Cricetulus griseus: one gene and its partners. The protein of the gene in region 1 purifies or fractionates together with the protein of each later gene. This does not show direct contact. Links are inferred from orthologs where the notes say so. Each region holds a gene or a part of one and is shown in the gene's direction. Other genes may lie near its edges.

Evidence for each region. Proteins that work in one complex are often made in the same cells at the same time.
Region 2: the proteins of Kat8 (region 1) and KAT8 regulatory NSL complex subunit 1 purify together in Homo sapiens (affinity purification with western blotting; 4 studies listed by BioGRID and IntAct, with this or other methods). This does not show direct contact. The link is inferred for Cricetulus griseus from reciprocal best matches to the Homo sapiens genes KAT8 and KANSL1.
Region 3: the proteins of Kat8 (region 1) and PHD finger protein 20-like protein 1 purify together in Homo sapiens (affinity purification with mass spectrometry; 3 studies listed by BioGRID and IntAct, with this or other methods). This does not show direct contact. The link is inferred for Cricetulus griseus from reciprocal best matches to the Homo sapiens genes KAT8 and PHF20L1.

Annotation. Positions count from the first base shown.
Region 1 is NC_048596.1:72,863,427-72,871,174, reverse strand, and holds the start of Kat8 (histone acetyltransferase KAT8), read left to right. Parts: upstream 1-3,743; 5' UTR 3,744-3,775; coding exon 3,776-3,986; intron 3,987-5,533; coding exon 5,534-5,608; intron 5,609-5,683; coding exon 5,684-5,859; intron 5,860-7,748.
Region 2 is NC_048600.1:117,491,337-117,499,307, reverse strand, and holds the start of KAT8 regulatory NSL complex subunit 1, read left to right. Parts: upstream 1-2,860; 5' UTR 2,861-2,976; intron 2,977-7,971. UniProt on the Homo sapiens protein: Non-catalytic component of the NSL histone acetyltransferase complex, a multiprotein complex that mediates histone H4 acetylation at 'Lys-5'- and 'Lys-8' (H4K5ac and H4K8ac) at transcription start sites and promotes transcription initiation.
Region 3 is NC_048603.1:22,016,837-22,024,586, reverse strand, and holds the start of PHD finger protein 20-like protein 1, read left to right. Parts: upstream 1-2,639; 5' UTR 2,640-2,825; intron 2,826-5,045; 5' UTR 5,046-5,082; coding exon 5,083-5,165; intron 5,166-7,750.

The DNA of each region.
Region 1 (7,748 bases):
CCTATAGCCCAGACTAGCTTTGCACTTGCTATTAGTCAAGGGTGACCTTGAACTTCTAATCTTCACCATGGAAATACAGTCATCCAATACCATACCTATTTTTATGCTGGGCTAGGGACAGAGCCCAGAGCTTCTTGTTTGCTAGACAAACACTCTTCTAAGTGAGTTACATCCCCAGACTTTTCTTCTTTGAGACTGCTTCTCTGTAGCCTTAGCTGGCTTGAAACTTTATAGACCAGGCTGGCCTTGAACCTGCTGCAGTCTCTCCAGCCTCTGCCACCTGAGTTTGGGGATAGACCATGTCAGTTGTCTTCCCGAGGCTGGTTGTGGGTCAATACCATCTCCTGCCTCTCCTGGGAAGAACTGTTGGATTGAGGGGGGACAGCAAATTGTATCTGGGGGCCAAATGGCAGGTGGTAGGAAACTGTAACAATGTCTTGCTACACTGAAAATCCTGCTGGCTGCCAGAGGGTAGGCAGCAGCCAGTGTGCAATGCTTGGAGCATGGGCCTTACCCTGAGGCAGTAGGACTCCATGGATGGGTTTTTAGATAAGAAAGGATGGTTCAGGTTGGGTTTTTAAAAAATTTTTTTTTAATGTATTTATTTCATTATGTATGTATACAGTGTTCTGTCTGCACGTTTGCCTGCAGACCAGAAGAGGGCATCAGATCTCATTATAGATGGCTTTGAGCCACCATGTAGTTGCTGGGGATTGAACTCAGGACTTCTGCAAGAGCAACCAGTGCTCCTAACATCTGAGTCATCTCTCCAGCCCCCCAGGTTGGATTCTTTAAGAGCTGATCCTGAGGAAGATTTGTGTTCAAATAATTTGTTAAAGTGGTCCCAGGGTTGGTACTGTAATGTCCTTGATCCCATTTTGTGTGTTGGGGGTAGGAGGTGCTTCCAACAGTGAGTAGGGGAACCATGAAAAGAAACAGGAGAGGTTAAGTAAATGATCTTAATAAAAACTCCAGAGCTAGTACCGTCTTCCTCAGAAGCAGACATGAGAGAGTTAAGCTCCATGGTAATTGATTCCCTCACTTGACAGTCCCTGTTTTGGGATGTGGAGATGGGAAAGGATTTAAATTCCTAGACTGAAAACTCTTAGCCTGAGGTGGTGACCCATGCCTTTAATCCCAGCACTCGGGAGGCAATCAGATCTCTGCAGTTTGAGGCCAGCCTGGTCTACAAAGTGAGTTCCAGGACAGCCAGGGCTGTTACACAGAGAAACCCTGTCTCAAAACAAAAACAAAACTCTTTAGCCTTTTCTGGCAGAATCAAATGTGACACACACCTGAGATCCTGGCCCTTGGGGTAAAACACAGGAGGATAAAGAGTTCAAGGTCAGTCTGGACTGCTTGGCAAAACCCTGTCTCACCAAATCCCTTAGGCAGTTGTCAAAGAAAAGTCTCATGTTCTAGTCTTTGAAAGTACATAGCTGTGACACACAGAGAAACGACACAGATTGCTGCAGCAGAAAGAACCTGGTGAGATGGTTCAGCAGGGAAAAGCACTTGCCACTGAGTTGTGCCCTTGGAACTCATGGCAGAAGACAAACTGAACCTTGAAAAGTCCTCTGACTTGCATGCTTGTATGCCCATACTCATACACATAACAGGGGTGGTCTGTGTGCAGTCCCCATACAGTTCTAGGAAGAAAACTTGGATTTGCATGTTAGAACCATGGATGACGTGCAGGCAGCACAGGAGTACGTGTGCTCACATCTGATCAATGGATTTACTATGCTTAGGTTAATCTTTACTTAGGAAGGCCTTTACCTGTAACTGAAGATGTCAGGTGAAGATGAAGTGAGGTAACAGAAGTCTGAGTAAATGCAATAACAATCCTGAAAAGGGGTGTGTAGTTGGTTTTTTGTTTTATAACTCTTTGGGAGCCTGCCACCCAGCTAACAAATAAATACAGGGAGACTTATTCTTATGGATTTCTGGCCTTACCTTGGCTTGTTTCTAGCCAGCTATTCTAATTAAATTATCCCATTTCTCTTTAACTACATTTTGCCTCTGAGCTTTTTTACCTTTCTTTGCTCTCTATATAGTTCTTTCCTTCTGGGTGGCTGGCCCGTTGTCCTTTTTTTGATCCTCTCTTCCTATTTATTCTCTCTGCATGCCAGCCCCACCTATCCTTCCTCCTGCCTAGCTATTGGCCGTTCAGCTCTTCCTAAGACCAATCAAGTGTTTTAGCTGGGCAAAGTAACACCGCTTCAGAGTTAAATACAACATAACTCACAGATGCACACCCATTCCTAATCACTACATATTTCTCAGTTCTGCAAAGCTCAGGAAATAAGTTCCTATATAACAAATGGTTATTCTTTTCATCTACTAGTTTGCCTATGGCACAGTTCCTAAAATATGCATTGGGCAGGCTATTAATCGTTAGTTGCCCCAACACAGTAATGACAGAAAACACACCTTACCTGATCTTTGTGGGGGATAAAAGGTGAATAGGCAAAGCAAATTAGATGTGTGTTGCTCTACTTCATCTACCAAATAAGAAGTTTAAATTGAATTTTGTTATATGGTTTATATAATTTTATGACTTGACCATATGTACATATGGTTTAATCTTTACAGAATCTCAATGAATTTGGTACACTACTCAGAAACAGTCGCTACTCAAGATTCTTTAGCCACTGCCCAAATAGCTCTTTGTGTCTCTGCTCAGCCGTCCCCCCAGCCCCCCACCTTTAAGAGGTGTCATTCTGGTTGGAGATGTAGTTCACTGGTAGTGTTTGTCTAGCATTGATGAAGCCTTAGGTACAATCCCTAGTAGTGCATGAACCTGGTATGGTAACACATCCTAACCTCAACATTTGGGAGGTGATGAGAACTCAAGGTTACCTCTGGCAACATTACAGGTTTGAGCCCTGTTGGGACAAGTGATTCTTTAAAAAAAAAGGGGGGGGGGCTGGCGGTGGCTCACACCTTTAATTCCAGCATTCGGGAGGCGGAGGCAGGTGGATCTCTGAGTTTGAGGCCAGCCTGCTCTATAGAGCTAGTTCCAGGACAGTTAGGGCCGTTACACAGAGAAACCCTGTCTCAAAAAAAAAAAAAAGCTTATTCTGAAGGTACTTATTTGACACATCTGTTCTTTCCCTGTCTCAATTGTTTTTAACTCCCACCCTGAACAAGTGAGGCAACTATGGGGTGAGTAGCATGCATGAAGACCTGGGTTTCATACTCCAATATAATGGAACACAACAGTAATCCCCAGATAACGGTCACTAATTCAATGAGTTTGAGACCAGCCAGTGAAAATGCCTTTCTCAAAAAATGGGAAAGTGGTGCTAGTGTTCAATCCCAGCTCTTGGGAACCTAAGGTGAGAGGAGAGAGGTCAGCAAGTATAACACACGGGGGGCGCACGCCCTTGATACCAGCAGAGGCAGAGGCAGGCGGGTCTCTGTGAGTTCGAGGCCAGCCAGGTCTACAAGAGCTAATTCCAGGAACGCCAGGGCTACACAGAGAAACCCTGTCTCAAAAAACTAAACAACAGAAACCCCGGGCGTGGTGGCGCGTCTTTAAATCAGTCAGGAGTATATCATGAAACCGTCTCAAAGAAAGAGAGCGGAAAAACTCAGGCTGGACGTGTTTCCACAGCGTAACCACCAGCAGCCCTACGGGGCGCCCACCACGAAACAAACGCCACATCACAGTCTCCTACCCCCTAAACGCTGAGACTCCGCCCCATCCCCCGCTGACCCGGAATTAAAAGCGGCCGTCTCTAAGGTCACCGGCACCACTTCCGGTACCGCAATGGCGGCACAGGGAGCAACAGCCGCAGTTGCTGCAACGACTTCGGGAATTGTGGGGGAGGGCGAGCCCGGGCCCGGGGAAAATGCGGCAGTCGAGGGGCCTGCCGGGTCTCCGGGCCGCGTCTCTCCGCCGACCCCGGCGCGTGGCGAACCAGAAGTCACCGTGGAAATCGGAGAAACGTACCTGTGCCGGCGGCCCGATAGCACCTGGCGTGAGGGCGGGGTCCAGGGCCTGGAGGCGGGGCTTAGGGATGGGGCAGGGCTTACGAATGGCTGCTCCAGGGGGCGGAGTTTGGGGCTGGGAGTCCTGGGGTGAGGGTGGTGACCCAGGTAAGGTAAGGACGCAGAAGCCAGCTCTCTCGTGGGAGACTGCAGTCGGGCTTTATGCTTGTTTTCTCTTGTGAAGCCACCAGTAAGGTGATCACATTGTAAGCGTGTGAACACCCATTCCTGCCTGATTTCAAGCTTCATTTCTGCTGCTCTGTTCCGTCACTGGTGTTTTTTTGTTTGGTTTTTGTCTGTCTTTACATTTCTCTCGCCCCCTTCATCGTCAGCAAAGAGGACGCCCAGTTCATAAAAACACGTTTTCCTTTTACGTATGTTCCATTTCCTTCCCTCTTCAAAATAAACCCCAAGCTAAGATGGCTCAGCAGATAAAGGTGTTTGCCACCAATCGTGAGGATCTGAGTTCTGTCCTCAGGACCCATATGGCAGAAAGAGACAGTGATCTCACCGGTTGCCCTCTGGTTTCACCTACAACCACTCCCCCTAATAGATAAATGTAATTTTAAAACTAGAATAAACGTCGGGCATGGCAAAGCACACTTTAATCCCAGCACTGGGAAGGCATATCTGTTAGTTCAAGACCTGCCTAGCTTGCATAGCAAGTTCCAGGAGAGCCAGGACTACATAGAGAAACCCTGTCTCAAAAACAAAACTCAAAAGTAGCATTCATGTCTACTCCAGTTTTAGAAACTAAGCACTCCCAGTAAAGACCAGGCCTTGCTCTGCCCTCCAGTGACTGTGCCTTCTTCTTGGAATGCATTAACTTTTCTCATGTTTGCCTAGCTAGCTCTTAACTCATCTCCTAACTTTGTCTTCCATGGTGATCCCATTCTTGACCCTTTCAGGCAAAGTTAATTGCTTGTATGTTTGGTAATATTTTTTTTCAGACCTCAGCCATAATATATGTAACATGTTAAAATTATCTGCTCTGTGTAAAATGGGAAACCTCTAGAGAGCAAGTTCTCTTGTGATTCATTGCTGTATCTGCTTTCTGTGTCCAGCAATAACAGCAGAAGGCCAGACAAGCTTTAGTGTCTAGACAAATTTGCTAGGAATCTGTCATTGTGCTAAAGAATTTTAAGCCTTTTTTTTTACTTTCTAGATGAAGGAACTAAGATTCAGAAAGTCAAAATAATGTGGTCAGTTAGTTACATTCATTTAGGAAATTGAAGGAAGAATTAATTATATAGAAGCTTAAACTGTCTTAATCCCTAGCTAGCTCCCATGTCCCCCAAATAAATGAATGAATAAAATGATCACTGAATTTGGAGCTAGACTTAAGCATACTTAAATACCAGGTTTTCTCAGTTTTCAAATCTCTAGCTCTCTGTCAGCATCCCCCCCCCAACCCACCCACCCAACTAAAGTCCTAACCTAACTCACCTTACAGGGTAAATAAGTACAATATTGGATGTGGACACAAGGATTTGGAAATCATCCCTCAGTGCATCTGACCCCTTTTTTTTCTTTACAGATTCAGCAGAAGTGATCCAGTCTAGAGTGAATGACCAGGAGGGCCGAGAAGAATTCTATGTACACTATGTAGGCTGTGAGTGTTTGGGGCCATTGGGCCTGGGTGGAAGGAAGAGGTAGCAGGTCAGTTCCTCATGGTCCATCTTAACAGTCAACAGGCGACTGGACGAATGGGTGGACAAGAACCGACTAGCACTGACCAAGACAGTGAAGGATGCCGTGCAAAAGAACTCTGAGAAATACCTGAGTGAGCTGGCGGAGCAGCCTGAGCGCAAGATCACTCGAAACCAAAAACGAAAGCATGATGAGATCAACCACGTACAGAAGGTCCTGGCCCTTTCCCTTCTCTAGGACTCAGGAGGCCCTGCTGCTTCTGCCAAGCCCAGTCGGCCTCTTGGGCCCCAGTAACAAAACCATAACTCCTCTCATTTGAAATCTTGTAGTGTGCTAGGGATTTTATCTCTCATTTATTCTTCAGATGTAAAAAATCTCAACTTATAGACAGAAGAGACTTGCTGTTTTGCAGCAAGGAAATGGTACAGTTAGGGCTGGAACTCTGGAACTTGAAGTTCCAAAGGAAGGAAAAGAAAACAAAATTATATTGGTTACTTGGTTATCCAGCACCATGCTGAGTGCTGTAAAAACTCATCAAATCCTCTCCAATAGTCCATCACCACAGGGAAAATTTTGTTCTTTTTGTACATGAGGAAGTAGGCTCAGAGAAGTTAGCATGTTAAAGTTAAACAGCTGGTTAAAAGGTGGGCAGGAGTTATGACACACATTAATGGTTTGTGAGCCTAAATATTAGGTTAAATATACTTCATTCCTTCCTTGCTCTGATATTTCAGAGTGGCCTTTTGCTGAGCATTATTCTCAGTTTACAGAGGGAGCACTGGTAGGTTTAGAAATCTCATTAGGGGACAGGAGAGATGGCTCAGCTGTTAAGAGCACTGGCTGCTCTTCCAGAGGACCTGGGTTCAACTCCCAGCACCCACATAGCAGTTCACAACTGTCTGTAACTCCAGTTCCAGGGGATCTGGCATCCTCACACATACATACATGCAGATAGAACCCTAATGTACATAAAAAACTAAATAAATCTTAAAAAAAAAAAAAAAGAAAAGAAATCTCATTAGGAAGTACATCATCTTAGGGGCCAGACCCTAATCATGGTTTTGATACATTCTACAAATGTACCCAAACCAGGGTTCTTCTTTAAAAAATAAAATTTTATATATATATATATGTATATATATATTATAATAATAATATATATATTTCAAAAAATATTTATTGTTTGGGGGGGTTATGTGTGCCATGGTTTGAGAATGTGGAGGCTAGAGAGTAACTTTGTGAAGTAGGTTCCAGGGATCGTGCTTAGGTCTCTAGGCTTACACTGCACATAACAGCAAGCTTAGGTCTCTAGGCTTACACTGCACATAACAGTACCCACTTAGCCATCTCAGTGGCCCATTTTGTTCTTTTGAGACTGTCTCATGTAGCCAGGCTGGCCTCAGACTTCCTACATAGTCAAGGATGATCTTAAACTTCTGGTTCCCCTGTGCCTACTTTTAAGCCTTGAGTGCTAGGCTTACATGAGTGAGTCATAGTGCCTGGCTGTCTGGTGTCTTATGACTATGTAGCTCAGACTGGCCTTGACTGTTCTTGGTGATTATGTTCCTCCTACTCTGAACCTCCATTTCTTTCTTTCTGTTTTAGAAGTTTGACAATTTTATTAGAGTTTAAAAGAAAAGCCCCAAGGCAAGCAGGGTGTAAACTTTAGGAAAAGTATCATGTCATTTAAAATGGCATGGAGATCAGATATATGGTAGATAGTCAACCACATGGAAGGAATCAGCATTTTAGAGGAGTAAGGAAGCCAAAATGTTGGGGAAAGCCCAAAGTGTTAAGGAAAGTATGCTTAGAGGAAATAGAGAAGAAAGAAAGAAAAGGAAAAGTTATATTTTTCTGAATAATTCAGAAGAGGGAGCAGACTTACAGTCTTACATTGATTTCCACACTAAGGCATTACAGCAGCCAAGAGCCTCAGTGTTGTAGTTCTGCTCATCTGAGCTCTAGGGGAATACAGTGCAGCGTGCTTTTCTCACTGTAGACACTGTATTAATAGGTTGTGAACTTGTTTTTGTGTGGTATGTATAATATTTACATTTTGTAAAGGCTTTTTAGGTTTATGTATGAATGTTCCCTGCATGTGT
Region 2 (7,971 bases), on another chromosome or scaffold:
TATCTCTCTGAGTCTCTAGGAGCCCCGGTTAGTTGATTCCATGGGCCGTGTTCGTGTGGTTTGTTTCTAATTTTGTGACCTGATTTAAAGATTAAAAAAAAAATTAATACTCACTTTGTTAGCCCAAGCTGGCTCTTGAACTTATTACTCTTCTACCTTGGTCTCTTGTGCTAGAATCACAGGCGTAGGCCATCACGCTTGGCTAATATATATATTATATATATATATATATATTATATATATATATGAAATGTTTATGAATGGTATGAAAATCAGTATCTACAAAGGATGTGCCTGAGATTAAGTCTTTCACTCCCTTGGTCTGCTGGGCAATCCATTTCATCCCAGGAGGTAACCACTGTTCCCACCTCTGAGAGTGATTTTTGACTATCAGCTCTCTCAATTCCTTCCTGGTCTGTGAGATGTGTGGCCTTTCCAGGCCCTCATGACCTCAAATCTGATTGACTTCATAAATTAGCAATCATATGTGTATATTTAATGTACATACACAAAATCTCTCTCCCTATGGCCTTCCGGGCCCGGTTTTCATCACATCGCTTCCTGGATGAAGAACCTGGAAGGGTGAGGGGCAGGGGTTGGGGGTGACAGAGAAGAGGACCTGAGGGACTGTGGCCAGGGGTTGAGTGGTGGACTGCTGTGAAGCACTGTAGGGTTTCCTATTTTTATTTTTCCCACTAGGCCCCCTTCCAATTCGGTCCAGCTCAAGCCTCTCCTTTCCTAGGGCCGAGACAGAGACAGGAGAGATACAGAGACAGAGACGCCGAGGCACCAGCATCTCTCCCCCCCCCTACACCGTCCCGCCCCACAGCTCTGACGGACGTCAACTCGCAGCCAATGACGCTCGCGAATTGCCTCGGACGGGCCAATGAGAGACACAGGAGGGCGAAAGCTTGCCCGCCCCCCCCACTCTAGCTTGGTTGAGCCGTGCAGGTAGGTCCGGGGCCGGGGAGCTGCCGTTGGCACTACTGCCCCGGGGTGGGGGCGCGGCGGGTCGGGGTGATGGTGGCGCAGAGTGGGGCGTCCCGTCCGGGGACGTCGCGGGGGGCGCCGCCGCGGGCGGAGGGAGGCTGAGGGGTCGCGGGAGCGGGCGCCGCCGAGGGCCCTGAAGGCGGCCGGGCTGAGGACGCAGGGACGCGTGTGGGGCGCGGGACCCCGGCCCGGCGCCCACCGCCAGGCCTGGGCCTCGGGCCATGGGCCGCGGCGGACCGGGAGACGGGAGGCCAGCGGGCCGGAGCGGGGGCGCGAGCGGTGTCCCGGGGCCCAGGCCGAGCGAGGTGGGACGGACCGCGGCGGGCAGGACGGAAGCGGCATCCCGCGGGCCGCCCCCTCCTGAGGCAAGTCGGGCAACGGCCACGGGCTCCGGCCGCGAGCCCCGGCCCCGGCCGCCCCTCCTAACAATGGGACCGGGCCGGAGGAGTCGCGGGCCGCAGGGGGTGGGGGAGCTCCCGGACGAGGGTCGGAGGCGGGGGAGGGGCGGGACTGGCGCTCTCTGGATCTCGGCCCCGAGGTTCTGTGGAACCTGGGGGTCGCGTCGCGTCGCCTCGCGGGTGGGGGCGGGGGTGGGGAGGGGCGCTCAGGCTCGCCTGCGAGTCGGGTCAAGAGTCAAACTCCTCCGGTCCCCACCCCCCAAATCCGGTGAGCGGTAGGCAAAGTGATGCCAAGTCTCCCTAACCGAAGTGACAAACGCGGAGACAGAGCAAACCCACCCCAGTGCTTTATTTTATTTTTAAAACGGGGGACCTCGACTCTGAATTTAAGAAATTATTTTTTTAAAGAGGTGAGTGTGTTATTTTTGTGTTCCTACGCGGGCAAGCCTCCATTTTAAGTGAAGCAGTAACTGGTTAAGCTGGAATGTTCATTCAGGCCTAGGACTTAAGGCTCCTACAAGGAAGGGGTCATTTAGTCCATCCTTTTGCGTCCCTACACACTTAGCACCCACCATCTTCAAAATTAATTCCTCTGGGCTGCTTTTAAAGATCTCTGGGAAAGAAGGATCTTTTCTCCCCCCCTCCATTTTTTTTTTTTAACTTGTAGTACTTCAGTGAAGAATAGCAACAATTATTATAATGATGATGATGTAGAATCAGCTCTGAAACTTTATTTATTTATTTATTTATTTATTTATTTATTTATTTATTTTGGTTTTTTGAGACAGGGTTTCTCTGTGGCTTTGGATCCTGTCCTGAAACTTGTAGCTCTTGTAGACCAGGCTGGTCTCGAACTCACAGAGATCCGCCTGCCTCTGCCTCCTCAGTGCTGGGATTAAAGGCGTGCACCACCAACGCCCGGCTGAAACTTAATTTTAAGAAAAGTTAGGACATTGGAGTTGCCAGAGAGGTTTACATTTATTAAATAAAAGTAGCTGTAGACTTTTTTTTTCCGGTGACGAGTTAATAAATCACTTTCAGTAGTGCTTATGAAATAATACTCTGGGAGAATGGGAGAATAACTTTTCCTCCTGGATTTTGGTTTTCTGAATCTTTAATAAGTAATTTTTGATTATTTAAAATTTATGGTCTCTGATGTAAAATATACATGTGAAATTCCCTTTCCAAAGAGAATTGTATATTGTACCTTTTGTTGTTGTTTTTGTGTTTGATACCATCTCAACAAGTAGCCTTGCCTGACCCTGAACTCACTAAGTATACCAGGCCAGTGTTGAACTCCTAGATGACAGCCTGCCTCAGCCTCCTCTGAGTGCTGGGATTAAAAGTGTGTGCCACACCTGCACACTTTCTAGGATGGTAAGGCAGTTGGCACTTAGCATCCTTCCCAGATAGAATAAGCTATTTGCATATTCTAGATTATTGTCATCTAAATGAAACATCCTCCTTTTCAGATCTTGCCACTTTTATCCGTGGTAACTGAGGGGATTTCTTAGTCTCTCCCTGCTTCTTTCTGAGGCTCATCTGAACTATTCCTGACACTATGAATGCTATTTGGATGCCTCTTAAGGTAAGATGTATTGGTTTTTCCTTATTACTTCATATGAGTGTTTTAGAACCAAGAATATTTGTTTGCTATTTGTGTTTTGAGACAGGGTCTCATGGTAGCCCAGGCTGCCTTGAACTTTTTAGATTGCTAAGCATGCCTTTAACTTCATGAACTTCCTGTCTCAACATTCCAAATGCTAGGATGTTCTTGAATTTACAACTCTTCAATTACCTTACAGGATACTTATCCTGAGGACTATTAGCTTCTTAGGATTTGTATTATTGCTGTTCTTGATTGGTGTTAAAATATTAATGAAGTTCTCAAATTAACTTTTATTATAATGATGAGTTCATTTTTTAAAATAATTTATTTAACTTTATTTTATGTGCATTGGTGTGGAGGTATCTGGAACTGGAGTTACAGACAGTTGTGAGCTACCATGTGGGTGCTGGGAATTGAACCTGGGTCCTCTGGAAGAGTAGCCAGAGCTCTTAACCACTGAGCCATCTCTCCAGCCCCAGAGTTCATTTTTTTTTTTTTTTTTTTAAACCTTAAATTATTACAGCTTGCATACTAGTAAAATTCTGTTCCAAACCTGGCTTATGGGGTTGGCAATTCAGACTTTGAGGTCCATTTTCAAACAGGTACTTACTTTAGAGTCATATGAACTTGGGTGTGTCCCACTTTTGCAAATCAGAGCTGATTCATGTGTTACAAAAGATGTGTCATTAACCATTTGTTTACTCTGAAGTTTCATATAGTATATTAAGGTTTATGTGTACAACTCTTCATCTGCTGCTCCTTAGGCCAGTTCATGAACCCTTACACTAATTTTTTTCAACAGGTAGCCATTGTGTCCTTTCATTTCAAGGGCAATGTGGGACAGTGACCATTTGTCTCTTATGGTTCTTTCTGATCTGTTCGGAGATGGCAGAAGAACTCTTGGTTAGGGCTAAGCAGAAGACTGAGCTTAAGGCTTGAAAGTGAGGAAGTGAGAGGGAGGACCAAGAACTGATAAGTAGTGCTAGAAGTCCTCTGTCAGCCTCGCCTTCCTTGAGAGTTAGATAATGATATAGTTAAGATTGTTTTGATCTGCTCCATGTAATTCCAGAATAGTATAGTGGGTAAATCAGAATAATGCAGTCTGTGTAACCTAAATATTTGGACTTTTGGGAAATCTTTAGGTAATGTAGACTGGATCTTATCCTCACTTTTGTTCTGGCTGCTCTTGTTGGATGAGTGCATATATTAATATAAAGGGGTCCAAAGTGACTCATTCTTTGCAGTCTTTTCCCCATGGTACAGCTGGAGGGATTGAATGGGGAAACAGTCTGAAGAATCGATTGCCTAGGAACTGGAGGACCTTGTATAATTGTGTTTTCATTTCCTTTTTTAAAAAAATACATTTATTTTTATTTATGTGTGTTGGTTTTTTGCCTGCATGTATATCTGTGTCACAGTGTCAGAACTCCTGGAACTGGAGTTGACAGACAGTGGTAAGCTGCCATGTGGGTGCTGGGATTGAACCCTGGGTCCTATTAGTTAGTATTCTTAACTGCTGAGCCATCAGGACTTGCTGACTTCTATGACCAGTATATTAGATTTCATGTTTCAGCTTCCTTGGTTTTAAGGTATTAAATATATTGAGGCCTACTTTTTAAAGATGTGTGAAGTGTTTAAGGTTTTACCTCTAATGGTAAACCTGGGGAATTACCAGAGTCCTTTGACTTGTCGGAAATACAGTCAGTGTCCTATAGTAAGTATGAATTATTATCTCTTAACTACTCGAGAATGTAATTATGTGGCTGCCTTAGTTTTATGTTTCCTACCAATCCTTTGATCGGTGTAAAACTGTGCTAAGTTTAAGCTTTGTTGTTTTGAGATAGAATCTTGCTATATGGTCTAGACTGGCCTAGTACTCTAATGACTCTGCCTCCCAAGTGCTGAGATTTCAGGCATAAGCCATAAACAGTTTTTTTTTTTTCTTCACATTTTCTACCTTTATTTTTTTTTTTTTAGAAATCAGTTTTTTTTTTTTTTAATGTATTTACTTTTTATATGCATTGGTGCTTTGCCTGCAGGTATGCCTGTGTGGGAGTGACAGATCTTGGGAGTTACAAACAGCGTTGAAGTGCATAGGGGTTCTGGGATTTGAACTCCGGTCCTCTCGAAGAGTAGTCAGTGCCTTTGACCGCTGAGCCATCTCTCCAGCCCCTTCCTCCCATTTTTTATACTTAACATTTCAAAATACGTTTAAATTGGCAGAAACAGTACGTTTTTTTCTATATTTTCAAATTAGAGTTTTTTTTATTTTATTAATTAAATTTTTTACTTGTATTTTATGTATGTTGGCGTTTTGCCTGCATGTATGTCTGTGTGAAGGTGTCAGATCCCCTAGAACAGGAGTTACAGACAGGAGTTACAGACAGGTGTGAACTGCCATGTGGTAGGTCCTCTGGAAGAGTAGCCAGTGCTCATAACCACTGAGCTATGTCTCTAGCCCTTTGTTTTTGTTTTTGAAACAGGGTTTCTCTGTGTAGCCTTGACTGTCCTGGATCTCTGTAGATCAGGCTGGCCTCAAACTCACAGAGAACTGTCTGCCTCTGCCTCCCAAGTGCTAGGATTAAAAGCATGCACTGCCACACCACCACCAAGTTATATTTTTAAATAAAAAGAAATGAGACTTTAATTAAAGTGTATACATCATGGCAAATGTTCATGTTTCTTTTTTTATATGATGCTGGAGATCCTAGATAAGCATTATATTGCTGAACATTAGCCTCAGCCCCTAAAATTTCTGTATTTCTTTGGCTTGTTTTCAGATACCTTATTTTATTCTAATTTAGTTTAAAATTTTATATTTATTTGTGCTTGCACAGATGTACATGTGTGCACACATATGGGCCATAGTGCAGGTGCTGGGTGGAGGACAGAGGACAGCTTGTGGGAGTTGGGCCTCTCCTTTCACCAAGTAGGTTTCCAGGATCAACCTCAAGTCATTAGGCCTAGCAGCAGGTTTTTTTTTTTTTTTTTTTTTTTTTTTTTTAAGATTTTATTTATTTATTATGTATACAACATTCTGCTTCCATGTATATCTGCACACCAGAAGAGGGCACCAGATCTCATAACGATGGTTGTGAGCCACCATGTGGTTGCTGGGAATTGAACTCAGGACCTCTGGAAGAGCAGCCAGTGCTCTTAACCTCTGAGCCATCTATCCAGCCCATTTTGTTTTTTGTTTTTTTTTTCATTTAAAAATTATTATTTTGTTTTATATGTGTCGGTGTTTTGCCTCCATGTATATGTGTGGAATTCTGAGCCACAGTGTGGGTGCCAGGAAATGAACCCAGGTCTTCTGGAAGGGTGGCCAGTGCTCTAACCATTGAGCCATCTTTCTATCCCCCAAATAATCATCTTTACATGCTGAGCTGTCTTGCTGGTCCCTAGTTAAATTATTTATTTTACTTTGTTTTTTTATGGGATATGGTATCTTTATATAGGTAGCCCTGGCTAACCTAGAACTCACTATGTAGACTAGACTGGCCTCAAACTCAGAGATTTACTTGCCTCTGAATCCTGAGTGTTGGGATTAAAGGTGTGTACTGCTACACCTGGCCTAATTTATTTTTTTCATGTTTACTTATTTCTGAGTGTGTCTGTGTGTGTATATATATGTAGCTTACAGTTTTCCTTCTGCCATTTGGGTCCTGAGGATCAAACTCAGGTTGGCAGACTTGGCTTGCTGTGCCTTTATCTTTGAGGAGTTTGCTCTGTCCTTGTGCCTTTATGTGTTTTCTAGGAATTGAACTCAGGATATCAGGCTTGAATGGCAAGAGTCTTTCCCTGCTGAACCCTCTTGCTTGCTTTTTAAAAATTTTTTAATTTGAGCCGGGCATTGGTGGTGCATGCCTTTAATGCCAGCTCTCGGGAGGCAGAGGCAGGTGGATCTCTGTGAGTTCGAGGCCAGCCTGGTCTCCAGAGCAAGTGCCAGAATAGGCTCCAAAGCTACACAGAGAAACCCTGTCTCGAAAAACAAAACAAAAACAAAAAAAAAAAAAAAAAAAAAATTTAATTTGAAACAAGTTCTCACTGTTACCTTGGCTGTTTTGAAACTCCTCATAAAGACTAGGCTGGCCTTGAATTGAGAGAGATAAGCTTGCCTCTGCTCCCTGAGTGCTGGGATTAAAGGCATGATCCACTATAACTGGCTTTTTATACTTTTTGTTTGAATCAAATCCAAATATTTGAAAACAGAATTCAAAACTAAGTGGAAACTAACAGGTAATTCCTTACATCTTCCTTTGTTGGAAGAGAGGGAGGCAGGTTTTTGAACAGTGGCTAAAGTGATGACCTGAAAATGGTCTAGTAATTTAGAACATATGTTGCTTTGGGATGTTAATTTTTTTTTTCTTTTTAAATTCTTTTTTGTTTTTTAAAGGATCAAACTCAGGTTGGCAGACTTGGCTGTATAGCTCTGGCTGGTCTAGGACTCACAGAGATACATCTGCTTCTGCCTCCCAAGTGCTGGGATTAAAGGAATGCACTACCATGCCTGGCTGGATTTTAATAATAATAAAAAAGATTGTTAATTTTATTTATGTATGTATCTGTGTGTGCCACATGTGTGTGGGTACTCAGGAAGTCCAGAAGCGGATGTCAGATCTTCTGGAGCTGGAGTTACAGGTGTGGTTGTTAGTCACCCAATATGGCTGTTGGGTATCAAACTTGGGTCCTCTGCAAGAGCAGCAAGTGCTCTTAACTGCTGCTATATCTCTTGTCCCCAAGAATTTTTTCCCCCAACATGGTATCAAGTAGATTAGGCTGGCTTTAAGCTCATGATGTAGCTGAGTATGACCTTGAATTCCCCCTGCCTCCACTTAAGTGCTGGGATTAAAGGCATGAGCTGCCATACCATGCCTATTTTTTAAAATTACTTTATACATATGGTTGTTTTGCCTGCATGTGTATATGTGTACCACATTCTTGCCTGATGTCTAAGGCATTCTGAAGAAGGAA
Region 3 (7,750 bases), on another chromosome or scaffold:
ATCTCACTTTGAGTTTACACATGAGACTCAGTTTTAGGCACACACAATTTTAAACAAGTGTTTTCTATTTATGAGTACATGGATGGACATTCAAAGGTCATGCATGACTTGGGGGTAATTCTACAAGGTAAAGAGCTGCATTGTGCATTTCAGGCTTTGTTTTGTTTTGTTTTGTTTTTTGCAGACCTGATGCCTTCTTGTTGAGTTGTAGAGATTTCCTATAGCAATTTAGTAACAAGTAACTATGACAATCCCTTTTCCAACATGTAATCTGAAGTGGGGGGGCATTAACTCCACAGGACCATGCATCACTCAAGCCACTAATGTACATTAGACCTCAGTCCCATTAAAAAAAAAAACATTTTCTATTTTTGACAGTTTCATACACTTCGATCATACATTTTAGTCATTTTCACACCCAAATCCCCTCCCCCACCCCCTCTCTCACTGGAACTCTTCTCAGCAAGTCTCCATGTTACTTTTACATCTCCATTTTGTGTGCTGCTCACCGAGTTTGCTAAGGGTTACTTGATTGAGTGTAAGTAGGAGGTCATTCCTATTTTTATTCTAATATGTATTATTGGAGGGACTCTGTATCTATGTTCTAGTTGAAATAGAGGAATCATTATTCTTTTTTGGGGAAATGGGTTGGTAGACACTCAACATAGTAAAGAAAATATGTTATGTATTCTAACACACACACACACACACACACACACACACACACACACACACACACATATATATATACTGGCTTGTAGATCAGTGTGGTTTCCTCCAGACTTCAGGAAGATTCAGGCATAGGAAAGATTATTGATACTATTACTGTTGTGGTGTCGAAAATGTTTCCTTATTTTGAACACTGTTATCATCATTGCATACAAATTCTTAAAGAAATTCAGTTTACTTAGCAGTTAAAGCCAGACCTTTTTGCCCCAAGTGAGGCTAAGCTCATTAGAGTCTAATGTTGACATCCCATTTAGTGAGCGGCTGATTCTTCCTCCAAGATTCCTTATGATTTGGAAGGTTCGATTTTGTAACAAATGATCCTGATTTATAAATATATACCTTTTACTTCTCAACAGTGTACATTTTATTGTTTAAATTAAGTATTGTTCATAATTGCATGCTTGTTGTTGATATGTAATTACTGTGCTCATCCTGATGTATCAAGGTCACCAGTTGTTGCAAACATCGAAAGCCACAGTTTGAGGCACAGGGAATTTGTTGAACTGGCATCATACATTGCCATTCCCTGTGACGAATTCTACTTGCAATTTAATTTTACATCAAATTAAATGAACAAGCAAGCATATTACTAAGAAAAGCGGAAAGTATAAAATCTGCTTGTGGCAGAAGAAAGAGTATAGAAATATTTAACGCACTGGACTAATGACAGCTATGGAGGAAATTCTCAGACACTGAAAAGAAAAACAAGATGACAAATATCATTAACAACTGTCTTTATTTACGGTGTTTGCAGCATCACCAAGCTCAGTGCAACCCTGCAGCCACTAGAAACACATTTTTGAATGAATGCCTTTTGAATAAAACGTTAAACGTGAATGTTTGCTTCAGTTACAAAAATCTCACCATCATTGAAACTTAGAGTCACTTGGCTATTTTCTCAGTACGCGACGAAGCAAGATAAATATAAGCGTCATTTGTATGCGAAGATGCACTTTAAAAACGTGGGAGGCAGAGCGATAGAGTGGAAGAGAGAGAGAGAGAGAGAAACAAAACAAAACAGATGCTTCCTGTCAGTAGTATTTTGTCTGTGATCACTTTTAAGTTTTCCCAAAGCTGGGGCAGGGACTCTCGTGCTTACTGCACACTCCGGGGCATGTAAACGCAGCCCCTATATCATTAGTCGTGCAGACTTGTGGAAGTCACATCACTGTAGTCACAGGCTCCACTTCGTAGGGATGCCTGCTGTTAGTCCTTTAGTAAGAACTTCGGAGGTTGGAGAGCAGTGCAGTTGTGCGGCTGCGATTATTACGCTTTCCTGATTGTGCAAGAGAGATCATTGTGCCCGTCGTTCCTGCGGGGCTGGAATGGACTCGGTGGTGCATTTACGTCTGCCCAGGGTGTCAGCCCCTGGGGTCGCCTGGAAACCAGCTCAAGTCCCTGCTTCTCGCCCCGGGAGCCCAGGCTCAGGGCCGAAGCCCCGCCCCCAGAACCGCCCTCCAATCGTCTGCGCCGCGCGAGCCTAGGAGGACGAAACCCCGCCCTTGGAACCGCCCTCCAATCGTCTGCGCCGCGCGAGCCCGGAGGGGGTCGAAGCCCCGCCCCTAGAACCGCCCTCCAATCGTCTGCGCCGCACTAGCCTGGGGGGGCCGAAGCCCCGCCCCCTAGAACCGCCCTCCCTGCGAGCCCGTGGGCTTACGCCCCGCCCCTGGAACCGCCCTCTAATCGTCTGCGCCGGGCGAACCTGCGCCGAGGCCCCGCCCCCAGGAGCCGTCCTCCAATCGGCGGCGCCGCGCGAGCCCGGCCCTCGCCCGCCACGTGACAAAGCCCAGCCCGCTTCCGCTGCGTCGTCGCGGGCGGCTGACGTCGGCGGCCGGCGTCGCGTCAGGGCCGGCGGCAGTGGCGGTGGCGGCGGGCGGTGGCGGCTGTGGCGGCGGCGGCGGCGGCGGCGGCGATGGCAGCGGCCCCGAGCGGGCTTGAGGGCTCGGACCCGGCTCCCTCCCCGCGTCCCTCGGGCCGGCGCGGCGCCGCGGGCCCGGCTCCTGCTCCTGCTCCGTCCCGGCCCGCTGCGAGGCCCGCGCTGGCCGCCTTGAGGCGCCCCGGACGCCCGGCTGCTGCGCGCAGAGGAGGCCGAGGCGGTAAGAGGGGGCGGCGGCGGCGGCGGCGGGGCCGGGAGGGGCCCCGGGTCGCGGCTCGCTGGCTGCTCGCTGGCTTCGGCCCCCATTGTCTGCGCGCGGCCGCCGCCGCCGCCGCTGCGGTCCCCGCCTTCCTTCCCCCGCGGGCGCTCGCTGGGCTCGCTGGCTCGCTGGCTCGCTCGGCTGTCAACCCGCAGCTCCCTCCCCGGGCTCCGGGCCAGCCGCGCCGCTCGCCCGCGGCCTTTCCCGGCTCCCCTGCCGCCCTCGCCCGCGCGTCCCCCCCTCCCCGCCCGCCCGCCCGCCTGCCTCCCCGCCTCTGCTCAGCTTCGCGGTCTTTCCCTCACCGGCTCGCCCGCCGGCTTGCCCGCTCGCCCTGTGTGTGTGTGTCTGTCTCTTTCCTCTCACTGTCATCTCCGCTAACTTGAGCGCAGTTCTTTTTTTATTTTATTTTTTGTTACCGCTTTCCCCTCTCTCTTCATACCTTTTTTTTTTGTTTCCCCTGCCCTTCTCTCTCTGTCTCTGTATCTCTCTTCCCTCTCCCTCCCTCCTTCCCCCTCTCTTCTCTCTCCCTCCCTCCTTCCCTCTCTTCTCTGTCTCCTCTCTCCCTCCCTCCTTCCCTCTCTCTCTCCTCTGTCTCCTCTCTCCCTCCTTCCTTCCCTCTCTCTCCTTCCCTTTCTCTTTCCCTCTCTCCCTCCCTCTCCTCTCTCTCTCCCCCTCTCTTTGTGTTTAAGGATCTTTCCAGTAGAACGTCTTTTCTAAAAGTTGTCAGTTTAGATGCCACCTTCACCCCGCACCCGTGTCCCCAAGCCCGCCACCTCCCCGTCCCCCACAAGACAATGGGATTCCCCCTGTGCCCTTTGCGGTGCCTCATTCCTGAGAGTCACTTGGGGGATTCGATTTACAGGCTGGAAGTTTGTATGTTGCACACTTAGAAAATCTCTATGTAAAATGTTTGTTTGTTCCCATTACACCCAGCGCACCCTGGCTACCAATCTTAACCTCACCTATGTCATGCCAGAGTATTCTAAAGCCAGCCCCTTAGCCACGGGCTTGTCAACTTGGGCCCCCAGATTTTTTTTGTGGCGAGCATTGATGCTATTTCTGCCTTGCCTTTTCAGATATTAAAAAAGAAAGGAAGGCACATTTGTTTGCCATTGTATTTTGCCTGTTTTAAACAGTAACCAAATCATTATTTTAAAAAAAAATTGCAGTTGTATGAGGTTTATTTTTTAAAGTTTCTGTTTTTGTGTGATGTTTTGTATTATTTTAGGCTGGAGGGAGCCTACTCAGTATTGTGTAAAGCATGTTTTAAACCATCTTCCTCCATCAATAACTGCTTTGTATTCCCGATTACCAATTGCATTTTGATAAGACTTAGCATACCAATTATATTTTCATTCCAGTATCGATACTCTTGAGAATGTATTCATTTCCCTCAAACACTTAGTAGTGAAAAAGGCCTCAAGTGTGCTAGGAGACCCGTGTGGCTTAAAGAACAGTAAATTCTTGACCGGTGAATGATCTACACAGTGATCCTCTGCAGGTTTTTCTTATGAGAAACTTGTTTATTTTGATTGTGGGCACTATGTTGAGTTTACCATAGAAACTACACTCAAAGTCAGACCCCGACATTATTGATCATTAAAGGTGGAATTGAGGGAAAGAGTCCTCTGCAGCTCTGTTAAAACTGTCAAGCAGCAGTGCATCCTGATCTTACAGGGACATTGGTTGGTGGCCTTGGTGGCACACGACGGCATGTCTACTGCTTCCTCCTTAATTTTAGTGTTTTATAAAGGGATGTACATTTAGATGTACCAAAAAGATTTCTTGAAATTAAGTGAAAAACCATTAATCCCTCAAGGATTTCAGTAAGCAGGATTGTCTTAATTTTTAAAAACAGCATTTTCAATCTTCCTTGGGTAGAACTTTCTTGGGTATGTTTGAGTTAAGGTTTAAGGCATTTTAGCTATTCATAAGTACTGATCGCTTGTCCCTTCTTTTTCAGCTAGTTTTCCTTTCTGTATTCCATTTACTAATCTTGCTTTACTAAGGTTACCTTCCTGTTGCATGCTACCTACAGGTACTGGTAATCCTCTAATTAGAAAAAGTATTGTAATTTCCCATGTGTTACTTTGAAAGTTAGCTAAGTTCTGTCTGTTCCTGTAAGTCATATTCCCTGTGCATTTTATGTGTTAGAATCTAACTTTCTTTTTTCCTCTTGAGGTAGTGGAAAGAAAATACTGAAGAATAGGATCTCAAGATGAGTAAAAAGCCCCCAAATCGTCCTGGAATCACTTTTGAGATTGGTGCTCGTTTGGAGGCACTGGACTACTTACAGAAATGGTATGGAAAATACAGAACTTTGACCAAAATCACCAAACCTGTAGCCTTAGTAAGCCAGTGGCTATCCTAACTACATGTCAGTCACACAAGTGCAGCTGTCCCTGGAGTACATGTGCACACTGGGCTTAGGTTTAGCCTTTATAAGCTTCACAGATTGTTTAGTACAGCACTTTAGGTATGTGTGGTTTGGAAGTATTTTCCTAGAGTGTGAGGCAAAGAGAGAGGATAGTAGTCTTGAGTAACTAACAGCTATTTGGAGGGAGGGAAGGGATGGTTAATTCAGACAATCAGCTTCCTGTTTATCAGGTCCTGTCAGTGGTTGGGACTCTTGCTCTCATAGTGTCCCTGTCCATCCTTCACTGTCCCACAGAAAGCCCAAACCACATCTGACCTCTTCCTTGCTTAGAGCAGAACCTCATGCATGTTGGACTAGAAGGGCAAACTCCAGAACTGCACGTTTTCCTCTGGTTTTGGGCATCTGTGGCAGGTGGTCAGTACAAACACCTATGCGAGACGCTTCACAGGTGTAGTAGGAAAGGGTGGCGTGCTAGTGTGATATCTTTGTGGCTGGGAGAGGAGGGAAACAGCACACAGGGCCCACTGGCCCACAGAGGAATAAGAATGAGGGAGTGAGTTGCTCATTCTCATTAGTGGCTCATCACTCTGCCTGCCTTCTAGGCAAATGTTCTCTTACTGGCAGTCAGGGGCCTGAGTAGTTTCTGCCTGGCATCGGTGCTACCTAAGCTCCCTTCGCCCAACACTCATTTGTTGTGGAGCAGGGCCTTGTAGCTTAGCTGCCTCAGGACTCTCAGGACTGTATTCACCACACACTGTATCTCCATTAAAGCCATGATCGTTTTGCCTTCAGTCAGCTTACCAAATTTGCAGTGGCAGACAGAAATCTTGTTTAGTCATAGTATTGACTTGAGACTGGCCCTCGACTTTTGTTTGCTAACATCTAGGCTTAGACCTCAGCATGTCTTTATTCACTGGCTTAATGGCCTCATTTTGGGGCTCGTCTTTAGGACAGTTTGGAACTTGAGGTTGAGTGACAATTATTTTGCCTCTTAACCCCAGCTATCCCGTGGCTAGTTCTTATAAGGTACCTGCTTCTTACCAGATAGATAGTATACGGTGTGTTTCCTTCTTACCAGGCAGGAAATATACAGAGTATTTCTTTGAAATTGGGAAGCAGCTGAGAAACAGGCTTCATCATAGCAAGGGTGACTAAGAAACAGTCTCCGGTTTTTTGCAAATGTCAGCAAGGGTGTGTTGGTGACCATGTTGAAATATTCCCGGTTACAAAGTAGTTCCTTTGCACCATGCAGCAGAAGATGCCATTTTGCAATATTGGCACTCTTGGTTGTGGTTTAGCCAGCATGGATTTACTGCAGAGGCATGCTATTGAGACTTTATGAGCTATGTGAAACTTTACATTTTTTTGTTACTGCTTTTAGGAATATTTAATGTTTATATATTCGCATAGGCCTCTCAGTCAACAAAGTGCCATTGAGCTAGCTTCTAGCTTTGAAGAAACACATAGTTTATTAGTTCATGCAGTAGTTTTTAGGGACACAACATAACTTTGGCCTTTGTTGTATAAGAAGTTTACTTTTGGTTGGGAAATTTAGTCTGATTGAGTGGCTGTGAAATTTCGATTTGGTAATTAAATTAAAAAAAATATTTTTTAGAGAAATCCTTGTTCAGGGTCCTATGCTTCCGAGTAGCATTCCTGAAAATAAGTCAGAGTTGTAGCTTCTCAACAAGAGGTTCGTGCTAACTGGGGTAATGTCTACCTGTATTCTAGTAAGCTCAGTGATAATAGTCTCATTGACAAATGTTGGCCAACACCCCATTTGCCTTGAGTTTAACTTCTGTAAGCTCATTTATATAAACACTGTTCTTGATGTGGCTCTTTAAAAAACCTTTCAGACTATTATTGGGTGTGTGTACACAGGTACATGCCTACTCACTCTGGTAATTCAAGTAACTTTCTTAAGATTGAGTTTTGCTTTCTTTTTTTAGTCAGTATCAGGAAATAGACATAGATCAACCTTAAATTAATATCAAGTGGTTTACCACAGAACAGCTGTTGAAGTGCTGAAATCTACTTAAATTTCTGTGTGGCACAAAAGTTACATGACGCTTACTGTTTTTTTTTTTTTTTTAAATAGGTTATATAATTAAACAAAACAATTATTCATACATAATAATATTTATGTATGTATATCATTCTACTTGTAAAAGACCACTCAGTATTTCATTTTAAGTCTTCACATATTTCCTTTAGTATCAAATAAAAATTAAGAGTAGTTTGGTTTTCAAAAAACTTGAGTGGTTTAATGAGGACCAGAATACCTAATAGTTTAAAATATGCTAAATATAACTTCGATATTTGTTCATGCATAGTGGATGCTTTTATCATCCATGTACCTTCAGTTCCACTTGAAAACTATTGGTTCATATTTGATACATGCTTGAACTGTTAAGGAATTGGACAGGCAGACCAGAGCAGAATTATAAATCTTGCTTACCTGTTTTGTTCTCAAGACATGTACACTGAACCACATACTGTGGAATCAGTT